2 linked regions of the Oryctolagus cuniculus genome follow. The protein of the gene in region 1 interacts with the protein of each later gene in a pairwise test. Links are inferred from orthologs where the notes say so. Each region holds a gene or a part of one and is shown in the gene's direction. Other genes may lie near its edges.

Region 1 (4,888 bases):
AAAAAGGGATAGACAAAAAAGTGATAAGACAGAAAACAAGGAACAAATAGAAAGAGTAACTTTTTCCCTGACAGTAATTGCTTTAAATACAAATGGATAAATTCCCAATCAAAAGACAAGGGTAGCTGAATGAAAAACAAAACAAAAAAATGATACATAGTCTCTAAGAGATTCATTTTAGATTTAAAGACAGGAGCTGCCGCTGTGGCACAGTGGGTGAAAGCCCTGGCCTGAAGTGCCAGCATCCCATGTGGGCACCGGTTCTAGTCCCGGCTGCTCTTCTTCTGATCCAGCTCTCTGCTATGGCCTGGGATAGCAGTAGAGGATGGCCCAAGTCCTTGGGCCCCTGCACCCACATGGGAGACCCAGAAGAAGCTCCTGGCTCCTGGCTTCGGATCAGCACAGCTCTGGCCGTTGCAGCCATCTGGAGAGTGAACCAGTGGATGGAAGACCTCTCTCTCTGTCTCTACCTCTCTAACTCTTTCAAATAAATAAAATAAATCTTTTAAAAAAAGAGAGATTTAAGGACACACATAGGCTGAAAGAATAGAAATGAAATTCCACACAGCAGGGATGACCATACTTACATCAGACGAAACAGATTTAAGTCAAAATTGTCACATGACACAAAAGACATTAAACAAATATAATGTTCTAAATCAATTGTCCAGAAAGGTCTAACTATAACCAGATGCACCCAACCACATCAGAGCATCCAAATACACAAGCAAACAGAACTGAAGGAAGAAACAGAGAGCAATATAGTAATTTTAAAAATGGCCAGAACATCCAAACAGCAGGTCAATAAGGAAATAGAAGACTTAACAATACTACAGAGCAAAAGACCTAACAGATATATACCCTTCATCCTACCCAACACAAGCAAAACACACATTCCTCTCAAGAATACGTTCATTCTCCAGGATAGATCCCATATTTCATCACAAAACAAGTCTCAGCAAATTTAAGAAGGCTTAATGAAGCACACCAGATGATCTTTTCTAACCTCAATGGAATAAAACTCGAAATCAAAAGCAGAAAGAAAAATGAAAATTCACAAATACGTAGTATTAACACATTCCTTGAAAAATCAACGGGCCAAAGATGGAATCAAAAGGGAACTCAGAAGACGTCTTAAAACAAACACTAAAATCCAACATACAAGAAATTATGAGATGTAACAAAAGCAGTTCTAAGAGTGAAGTTTATGGTGGTAAATGCCTACATCAAAAAGCAATATAAAGAGGAGACTGTGAAATCAGGGTAGGCATTTAAAAGGACTTAAGAAACAGGCAGAGAGGGCGCTCAGAGGACAGAGGAGGACAGAAACGGGTGCCCTCGCGGACTGACTTTTCAGCCAGATACTACCAGGTGAGCACACAGCAGGCTCACCAAAGCAGGGAAGCGATCTGAATTTCTTCAGCAGCAGGATCGGCCTCTCCTTGGCCTCCCTTTGCCCTGGGCTACAGGACAGCTGAACGCTCCCGCTTGTCTCCATGACCCCAGAAAACGAAACTTAGTCCCTGATACTGCTGGCCCCCGGCCCCGGCCCCAGCCCCTGGAACCTCCGCGTTCCTCACCCGCGCCAAAGCCGGGAACGCAGGGACCACCGCCATTTTTCCCAACCCGCACCGGAAGTCCCCTCTGGACTACTTCCGGGAACTCCTGACGTCTGGACTAGCGAAGCTCAGCCGCCGCAGAATACTTGAGCCGGAAGATGCGTCCTTGCGTCTGGCGGAAGTGGCGCTGCGTGTGACGCCGCCGGCGGGGGGGCGGGACCTGGGGCGGAGAGCGGTTCGCGCGCTTCGGGCCTAGTCCGGACCTGCCGCCGCTGCCGCCATATTCCCGGTAACGGGGGCGCGCGGCCGGGGGCCGGCTGGGCCGGAAGAAGGGCCGGGACCGACGCTGAGGCGGGGAGGGGGTCGGTTGAGCTTAGGGCGGCCGGAGTCAGCGAGCGGAGGGAGGTGCGGGTCCTTGAGGGAGGGGCCAAGCGCGCCGGGCCGGGTCTGTGGGGAGGGAGTGGGACAGGCCTAGCCGGGGGCGAGGATTGGGCCGGGATGAGAGGCGGAGGCGGATGGAGCTCTGGGACCCAAAGGCGCTGAGGCCGGGGTCGCCTCGGGGCCTGGGCAGGTGCGGGCAGGCTGGGCCTGCGGGCATCGCCGCCGTGTTCTTCGCAGCCCTGCCCGAAGGCCCTTGGGAGCCGAGGCCTGGACTAGCCTGTCGCGCCACCGGCAGCTGCGGCGCCGACGCGGCGCCCCCCGCGCCGGGCCCGAGGGTGATGGGCAGCGCGCCCCGCGAGCCCGGGCGGCCTGGGAGAGCGGGGGGGCGGCGCGAGGCCGGGGGCGGGGCGGGGCGGGTGGGGCCGGGCTCGGGCGGCCGGGATGCTGCGTCTCTGGAGACGGGATGTGGGCAACCATCGCCCTGCGCTCGGGCCGGGCCCGTCGTGCCTTCTAATTGTTGCCCTCTTCTGACTACCACAGTGGCGTCTTTCTTACTTTGTCCATTCTCCGGGCTCGAGAGCTTCCTTCGGAGCCATGTCAGAAGGAGTGGACTTGATTGATATATACGCTGATGAGGAGTTCAACCAGGTGAGAGGGTGGCGGTGGTCCTTGGGAGCTTTGGGCTTTTCCTCGATCGGCCGAGGAATCATCTCCAGTAACTCGCACTGGTTTCACGATGTGCCAGTGCCAAGCTGTGCCAGTCCGAGTCTTGAACACAACTCTGGAGTCCGAAATTTTCCCCCTAGCGGAGACTTTAAAGGTTACTGAGTATTCTGCTTAATGTTAATTTGAACCTTCAGGCTTAATTTTGAAGGGTTTGATTTAAGAGCATATAAAAATCAACTGTAATAGAATGGTGAATCAACCTGTGGAACTTGCTCCCCAAGGAAGCAAAAGTTGGGTGGCAGTCTCCTCAAAGACTTAGCACACTTAAAAATCGGAATTATGTTTGCTGCGGGTTGGTGAGAACAATGTTGATAGCTGTTTGGTCTGGCAGACTAGCTGGAGAAGTGTCCTCTCCAGCATGAAGGTACGAAGGCACTGCACTTGAGATACTTTAACGTTCAGTTTTGCTCCATTGCAATTGCTTTTGAGTTGAGTCTTTTATAAGTAGCTTGACTCCGGTCTTGAGAAGTACATCGACATTTTAATGTAATAAATTTTGTGTATTGTTCTCGGGAGGAAAGGGTAAAGAACATTGGGCAAAGTAGCTAAAAAGCAGATGTAGACCCATTCACATATCCTAAGTTGGAAGTGATTGTCTCTTTATGTTTTCATTTCACCAGAGAATGTTGTATATTTTTCTTTTTTTTTTTTTTTTTTTTTTTGACAGGCAGAGTGGACAGTGAGAGAGAGAGACAGAGAGAGAAAGGTCTTCCTTTGCCGTTGGATCACCCTCCAATGGCCGCCGCTGCAGCCGGCGCACCGCGCTGATCCGATGGCAGGAGCCAGGAGCCAGGTGCTTTTCCTGGTCTCCCATGGGGTGCAGGGCCCAAGCACCTGGGCCATCCTCCACTGCACTCCCTGGCCATAGCAGAGAGCTGGCCTGGAAGAGGGGCAACCGGGACAGAATCCGGCGCCCCAACCAGGACTAGAACCCGGTGTGCCGGCGCCGCTAGGTGGAGGATTAGCCTATTGAGCCACGGCGCCGGCTCAGAATGTTGTATATTTTTAATAGCTGTTTTCCTACGTCCTTGTTAAACTGGCATCATCTACATATGACTACTTAAATACATGATGTTTTTCTAAGTTTGGACAAGTCAAATAATTATGGATCAAAGAGAAGAGTTTAGAATGTTCATTTAGTTACAAGACCATTGCTTTCCTGAGTTTTCGATGTCCTTTAACTCAGACTTTTACCAATTCTTTGTATGGGTTTTGTTTTTTTCCTTTTTTTTTTTCTTTTTCTTTTTTTTTTTTTAGAGATTTATTTGAAAGAGTTACACAGAGAGAGAGAGAGGGCTTCCATCTGATGATCTGATGGTTCACTCCCCAGTTGGCTGCAATGGCTGGAGTTGCGCCTATTTGATCTGAAGCCAGGAGCTTCTTCCAGTTCTCCCATGCGGTTGCAGGGGCCCAAGGACTTGGGCCATCTTCTGCTTTCCCAGGCCGTAACAGAGAGCTGGATTGGAAGTGGAGCAGCCAGGTCTTGAACCGGTGCCCATGTGGGATGCCGGTGCTTTAGGACAGGCTGTGAACCTGCTGCACCACAGCGCTGGCCCTGTGGGTTCTTTTGTTTTTCTTTACAAGATAACAGGAAAATAAAGCCCTCTAGTTCTTTTCTGTCTTTAATGAAACTTTTCTCTCTGTGTGTAATTCCTTATCTATGGACTGATAACAGTGGTACTGATTGACTTTGGGAAATAGGCAGAACAGGGTCCTTGATCACTAGCCACATTTGGTCTGAGGAAGTAAGATTTTAAGTTTTTAAACGATATTACTCATAGGTGAATACTGTCCAGTATTCACTGCTCTGTTAGGGTTGACATTGATCTTAGCAATTTGTTCTCTTTAATTTAAAAAGAACTTTAAAAAAAAAAATGATCTGAGAGGCCAAAAGGAGTATTTAGATTCTAATAGACATTTATACAAATGACGTAGAATTTTTGATACTGGGCAAGTTGAAGAAAATGTAGATTTTGAATGCCTTATGTCTTGTGGAAAGTAAAGGAACGGGCACTCTTCCCCCCTCCCCCCATACATGAGTTAATTTTTGGCAAAGCTGGTTTTAGTGAAATCTGGAAACTGCTACAAAATGGCAAAAACCCTTGTCTGGCTAGGGTGTTAGACACTGGCTTGGTTGGAAGATATCCATTACAAATCGTGTTTTAGAATGTTTCAAGCATGTTACTGATTTGCCCCAAGCTGGACCATGTACCTTGGTCCCC
Region 2 (5,023 bases), on another chromosome or scaffold:
CCGGGGCTCCAGGTGCAGGGCAGACCAGTGCGCGCGGCTCGCCAACTGGACACCCCGGGGCTCCAGGTGCACGGCAGACCAGTGCGGGCGGCTCGCCGGCTGGACACCCCGGGGCTCCAGGTGGGTGCCAGGCCAGTGCGGGCGGCTCGCCGGCTGGGCACCCCGGGGCTCCAGGTGCAGGGCAGACCAGTGCGCGCGGCTGGCCGGCTGGACACCCCGGGGCTCCAGGTGGGTGCCAGGCCAGTGCGGGCGGCTCGCCGGCTGGACACCCCGGGGCTCCAGGTGGGTGCCAGGCCAGTGCGGGCGGCTCGCCAGTTGGACACCCTGGGGCTCCAGGTGCGTGCCAGGCCAGTGCGCGCGGCTCGCCGGCTGGGCACCCCGGGGCTCCAGGTGCACACCAGACCAGTGCGCGCGGCTCGCCAGCTGGACACCCCGGGGCTTCAGGTGCACGGCAGACCAGTGCGGGCGGCTGGCCGGCTGGACACCCGGGGGCTCCAGGTGGGTGCCAGGCCAGTGCGGGCGGCTCGCCGGCTGGACACCCCGGGGCTCCAGGTGCAGGGCAGACCAGTGCGCGCGGCTCGCCAACTGGACACCCCGGGGCTCCAGGTGCACGGCAGACCAGTGCGGGCGGCTCGCCGGCTGGACACCCCGGGGCTCCAGGTGGGTGCCAGGCCAGTGCGGGCGGCTCGCCGGCTGGGCACCCCGGGGCTCCAGGTGCAGGGCAGACCAGTGCGCGCGGCTGGCCGGCTGGACACCCCGGGGCTCCAGGTGGGTGCCAGGCCAGTGCGGGCGGCTCGCCGGCTGGACACCCCGGGGCTCCAGGTGGGTGCCAGGCCAGTGCGGGCGGCTCGCCAGTTGGACACCCTGGGGCTCCAGGTGCGTGCCAGGCCAGTGCGCGCGGCTCGCCGGCTGGGCACCCCGGGGCTCCAGGTGCACACCAGACCAGTGCGCGCGGCTCGCCAGCTGGACACCCCGGGGCTTCAGGTGCACGGCAGACCAGTGCGGGCGGCTGGCCGGCTGGACACCCCGGGGCTCCAGGTGGGTGCCAGGCCAGTGCGGGCGGCTGGCCGGCTGGACACCCCGGGGCTCCAGGTGGGTGCCAGGCCAGTGCGCGCGGCTCGCCGGCTGGACACCCCGGGGCTCCAGGTGCGAGCCAGGCGGCCGGACAAACACAGGGAAGGAGGCCTGCCGAGGCCTTCTGCCCTGGACCGCGCTCGGACCACAAGGCAGCAGAAGGGACCGAGGGGGGCGGGAGCACTCCAGGGAGCGCGAGTAAACGGAGGCCGCCCGAGGAACGCCGGGCGCCACGCGGGACGCGGAGCGGCACCGAGGGCGGCCGCGGCCGGAGCTGGAGCCGCCGCCCTGCCCCGACCAGGCGACTCCGAAACCAGCCCCAGAAGGGAGGCGGCGGCCGGGCCAGGCGAGAGGCGCCGGCGTGCGCGCGTCTTGGACAGATGCGCCCACAGGCCAGGGACGCGAGGCCGGGGCCGCCGGAGGCCGACCCTAACGTCGAGGCCCACCTTGCGGGTGATGTTGTGCACGTAGGGGCAGGTGTTGCAGGCGAAGCGGTGGCAGCGCTGGCCCTCCTCCACGATCAGCCCGTTCCCGCAGCCGGGGCAGAACAGCAGCATGGCGGCGCCCTGGCCCGCGCGCCCCCACGGCCGGAAGCTCCCTGGCCGCGCGACGCCGACACCCCGCCCACCTCGACCTCACGTTGGTCCCGGCGGCCCCCGCCGCTAGCCCACCAATAGACACGCCGACCCTCGCTCCCAGCCGGCCCTGCGGCAAGCCGCCTCGCACTCCCATTGGTTGGGGCGCCCGCCCCGCCCCTTGGCCCGCCGGTGGTTGGACGTCCTCACGGAGGTGGGCCCAGTCCGCGTCCGTGCTCCGCCTCCCGAGCGTGGAGTGGCTGGGCCGGCGGCCGGCGGCTCCGGGCTGGCGACCGTGGAGGCAGCGGAGCAGGCCGAGGAGGCCGAGGGGCCCGAGGTGCCGGAGGAGGATGAGGACGAAGAGGAGACGCTGCCTCACTCGGAAGCGGTGGACGTGTTCCAGGAGGGTCTCGCCATGGTGGTGCAGGACCCGCTGCTCTGCGACCTGCCGATCCAGGTGCGCGCGGCCAGAGCGGCCACCTGCCGCCGGAGAGGTGCTGATGGGGGACTGCGGCCGGCCTGGTCCGGGCCCGGCGTGAAGGGGCAGGGGAAACGGTGCCAAACTTGATGCAGAAGGTTGTCGGTAAAGGACAGTTGAAGAATGGGAGCTCCGGCTGCTCCGCTCCCTTCCGGCTCCCTGCCAGCGCTCCTCGGGGAGCGGCGGAGGGCGGCCCAGTGCCTGGGGCCCGGTGAGGCTCCCGGCCCCTGGCTTCGGCGTGGCCTAGCCCTGGGTGCTGGGGCCGTTTGCGGATGGAAGACTCGTGTTTCTCTCCCCTCTCCTTCCTCCCCGCCCCGCCCCCGTCAAATAAGTAGATGCAGAGGCGAATTTCCTCTAAGAAAAGTGTTATACTGCAGTCTTATCACTGCCGTGTGTTCCTGCCTTGTGTATTTTGCACACATGCCTCCCACTTAGTCCAGGGCTCTGGCCTGGATCCTGGTGACCAGGGGCTCTTGGGCAAACTGAAAGGCCCAGCGTCTCCCTCCTCCCCCCCCAGCAGCCCCTGGGGGCTCACTCTCCCTGCTTCCACAGCCATTCGGCATGAAATAGAGAAGTCGGGTGGAACCTGAGACTGAGGTGCTAAAGGGAGCCCCTCCCCCGGCCCTCCATAAAGTTTGGTTCCGTTTGGGCTGATAAACAAAGCCAGGGTTCCCACTGCCCCTGCTTGGCGCTTTCTAGGTGACTTTGGAAGAGATCAACTCCCAGATTGCACTAGAATACGGCCAAGCGATGACGGTCCGAGTGTCCAAGATGGACGGAGAAGTCATGCGTGAGTGCCGCTCTCCGCTTCAGATGGTAGCGGGCCTGGCCGTCGGGAAACCCGCAGGCGGAAGCCAGGGCTGTGAATCCCCACCCCACGTCTTCTCCCTGCAGCTGTGGTCGTGGTGCAGAACGCCACGGTCCTGGACCTGAAGAAGGCCATCCAGAGATACGTGCAGCTCAAGCAGGAGCGAGAAGGGGGCATTCAGCACATCAGCTGGTGAGTGGGACAGCAGCCCCGTCACGGCCCGTCACAGGGGCCTGCAGGAAAGCTCCCTCCGCTGCTCTTACACGTCTCTCGTCATGTCACCCAGCTGAGCTGCTGATACCTTCACTTGGGGACACTTAGGACACTAGTGTGTCCAGAAGTGGCCTCCCCAGTGTCGGCTGGAGCACCGTCCATGGCCTACGCTGGTGACAGCTGGAGCACCATCCGTGGCCCTGTCCCTTCCTCAGACACTGCTGGCCTCGCTGTCCTGCTGAGTCGCGTGTCCTCACAGCAGCTCAGCACTGCCGTCTGTCTCCTTCGCGAGGTGTGCGGGGCCCAGCTGCCCCTCTGCCCCTCTGGCAGGCCCCACGGCACTGTCCCCCCGAGCTGCCGCGCTCGGCCTGCTCGGGAGTTTACCTGAGGCCCCCCGTGCAGGTCCTACGTGTGGAGGACGTACCACCTGACCTCTGCGGGAGAGAAGCTCACAGAGGACAGGAAGAAGCTCCGCGAGTAAGTCCAGGGAGGGGTCACGTGGTCTGCTGCCTCCGCGGGGCTCAGGAGATGGCAGGCAGCGGAGCAGAGCATGGGCACTGCTGGTTCTCTCCAGCCGTGGCTCAGGGCTGCACAGCTCGGGGCGACGCGTGCAAGTGAACCGCGGCCGGCTGCTCCTCTCGGGCCTGCGGGCGGGCGCGCACGCCTCACCTGTGGCTCACTCGGGGTCTCCCACACCCCTGCGGTGGGGACTTACACACCCACCTGCAGTCAGACACTGCGCCTTTTGTCCTTTCAGTTACGGGATCCGCAATCGGGACGAGGTTTCCTTCATCAAAAAGCTGAGGCAGAAGTGAGCCTCCAGACAAGACAGCCCTGCACCAGTGGCCAGGCTCCTCCTGGGCTGTGCCCCTTCACAGAACGGCTGTTGACGCAGCCTGGCCGTGCCCAGCACGAGCTGTCAGGACTGAGCAGCACGGGGTGGGGCTGGTTCTCCCCGGGAGCATGACCTGAGCCTGTTTTTACCCGAGGGTAAGCACCCGAGCCACCAGCAGACCCCCCGGGCTGTTTGGCCCCACCCACTGTACAGAATGAACTGTGTGCTGGGGGTCTGGCCCCACCCTCTGTGCAAAATAAACTGTGTGGTCTGGCCTGGCCCCTGTATAGAATGAACTGTGTGCTGTGGGGTCTGGCCTGGCCCCTGTATAGAATGAACTGTGTGCTGTGGGTCTGGCCTGGCCCCTGTATAGAATGAACTGTGTGCTGTGGGGTCTGGCCTGGCCCCTGTATAGAATGAACTGTGTGCTGTGGGGTCTGGCCTGGCCCCTGTATAGAATGAACCTGTGTGCTGTGGGGTCTGGCCTGGCCCCTGTATAGAATGAACTGTGTGCTGTGGGTCTGGCCCCTGTATAGAATGAACTGTGTGCTGTGGGTCTGCCCCCTGTATAGAATGAACTGTGTGCTGTGGGGTCTGGCCTGGCCCCTGTATAGAATGAACTGTGTGCTGTGGGTCTGGCCTGGCCCCTGTATAGAATGAACTGTGTGCTGTGGGGTCTGGCCTGGCCCCTGTATAGAATGAACTGTGTGCTGTGGGGTCTGGCCTGGCCCCTGTATAGAATGAACCTGTGTGCTGTGGGGTCTGGCCTGGCCCCTGTATAGAATGAACTGTGTGCTGTGGGTCTGGCCCCTGTATAGAATGAACTGTGTGCTGTGGGTCTGCCCCCTGTATAGAATGAACTGTGTGCTGTGGGGTCTGGCCTGGCCCCTGTATAGAATGAACTGTGTGCTGTGGGTCTGGCCTGGCCCCTGTATAGAATGAACTGTGTGCTGTGTGGTCTGGCCTGGCCCCTGTATAGAATGAACCTGTGTGCTGTGGGGTCTGGCCTGGCCCCTGTATAGAATGAACCTGTGTGCTGT

What was found.
Region 2: the proteins of CPSF7 (region 1) and SNRNP25 interact in binary tests that used the Homo sapiens proteins (3 or more experiments, as listed by UniProt). The two-hybrid records come from large-scale screens. The link is inferred for Oryctolagus cuniculus from reciprocal best matches to the Homo sapiens genes CPSF7 and SNRNP25.

Annotation. Positions count from the first base shown.
Region 1 is NC_091432.1:10,749,837-10,754,724, forward strand, and holds the start of CPSF7 (cleavage and polyadenylation specificity factor subunit 7), read left to right. Parts: upstream 1-1,712; 5' UTR 1,713-1,848; exon of another isoform or gene 1,849-1,964; intron 1,965-1,984; exon of another isoform or gene 1,985-2,130; intron 2,131-2,480; 5' UTR 2,481-2,534; coding exon 2,535-2,588; intron 2,589-4,888. Other genes in the region: SDHAF2 (succinate dehydrogenase assembly factor 2, mitochondrial), read right to left, coding at 1,581-1,616.
Region 2 is NC_091450.1:34,568,182-34,573,204, reverse strand, and holds SNRNP25 (U11/U12 small nuclear ribonucleoprotein 25 kDa protein), read left to right. Parts: upstream 1-1,832; 5' UTR 1,833-2,064; coding exon 2,065-2,106; intron 2,107-2,826; coding exon 2,827-2,917; intron 2,918-3,021; coding exon 3,022-3,127; intron 3,128-3,550; coding exon 3,551-3,625; intron 3,626-3,905; coding exon 3,906-3,963; 3' UTR 3,964-4,275; downstream 4,276-5,023. Other genes in the region: POLR3K (DNA-directed RNA polymerase III subunit RPC10), read right to left, coding at 1,521-1,631.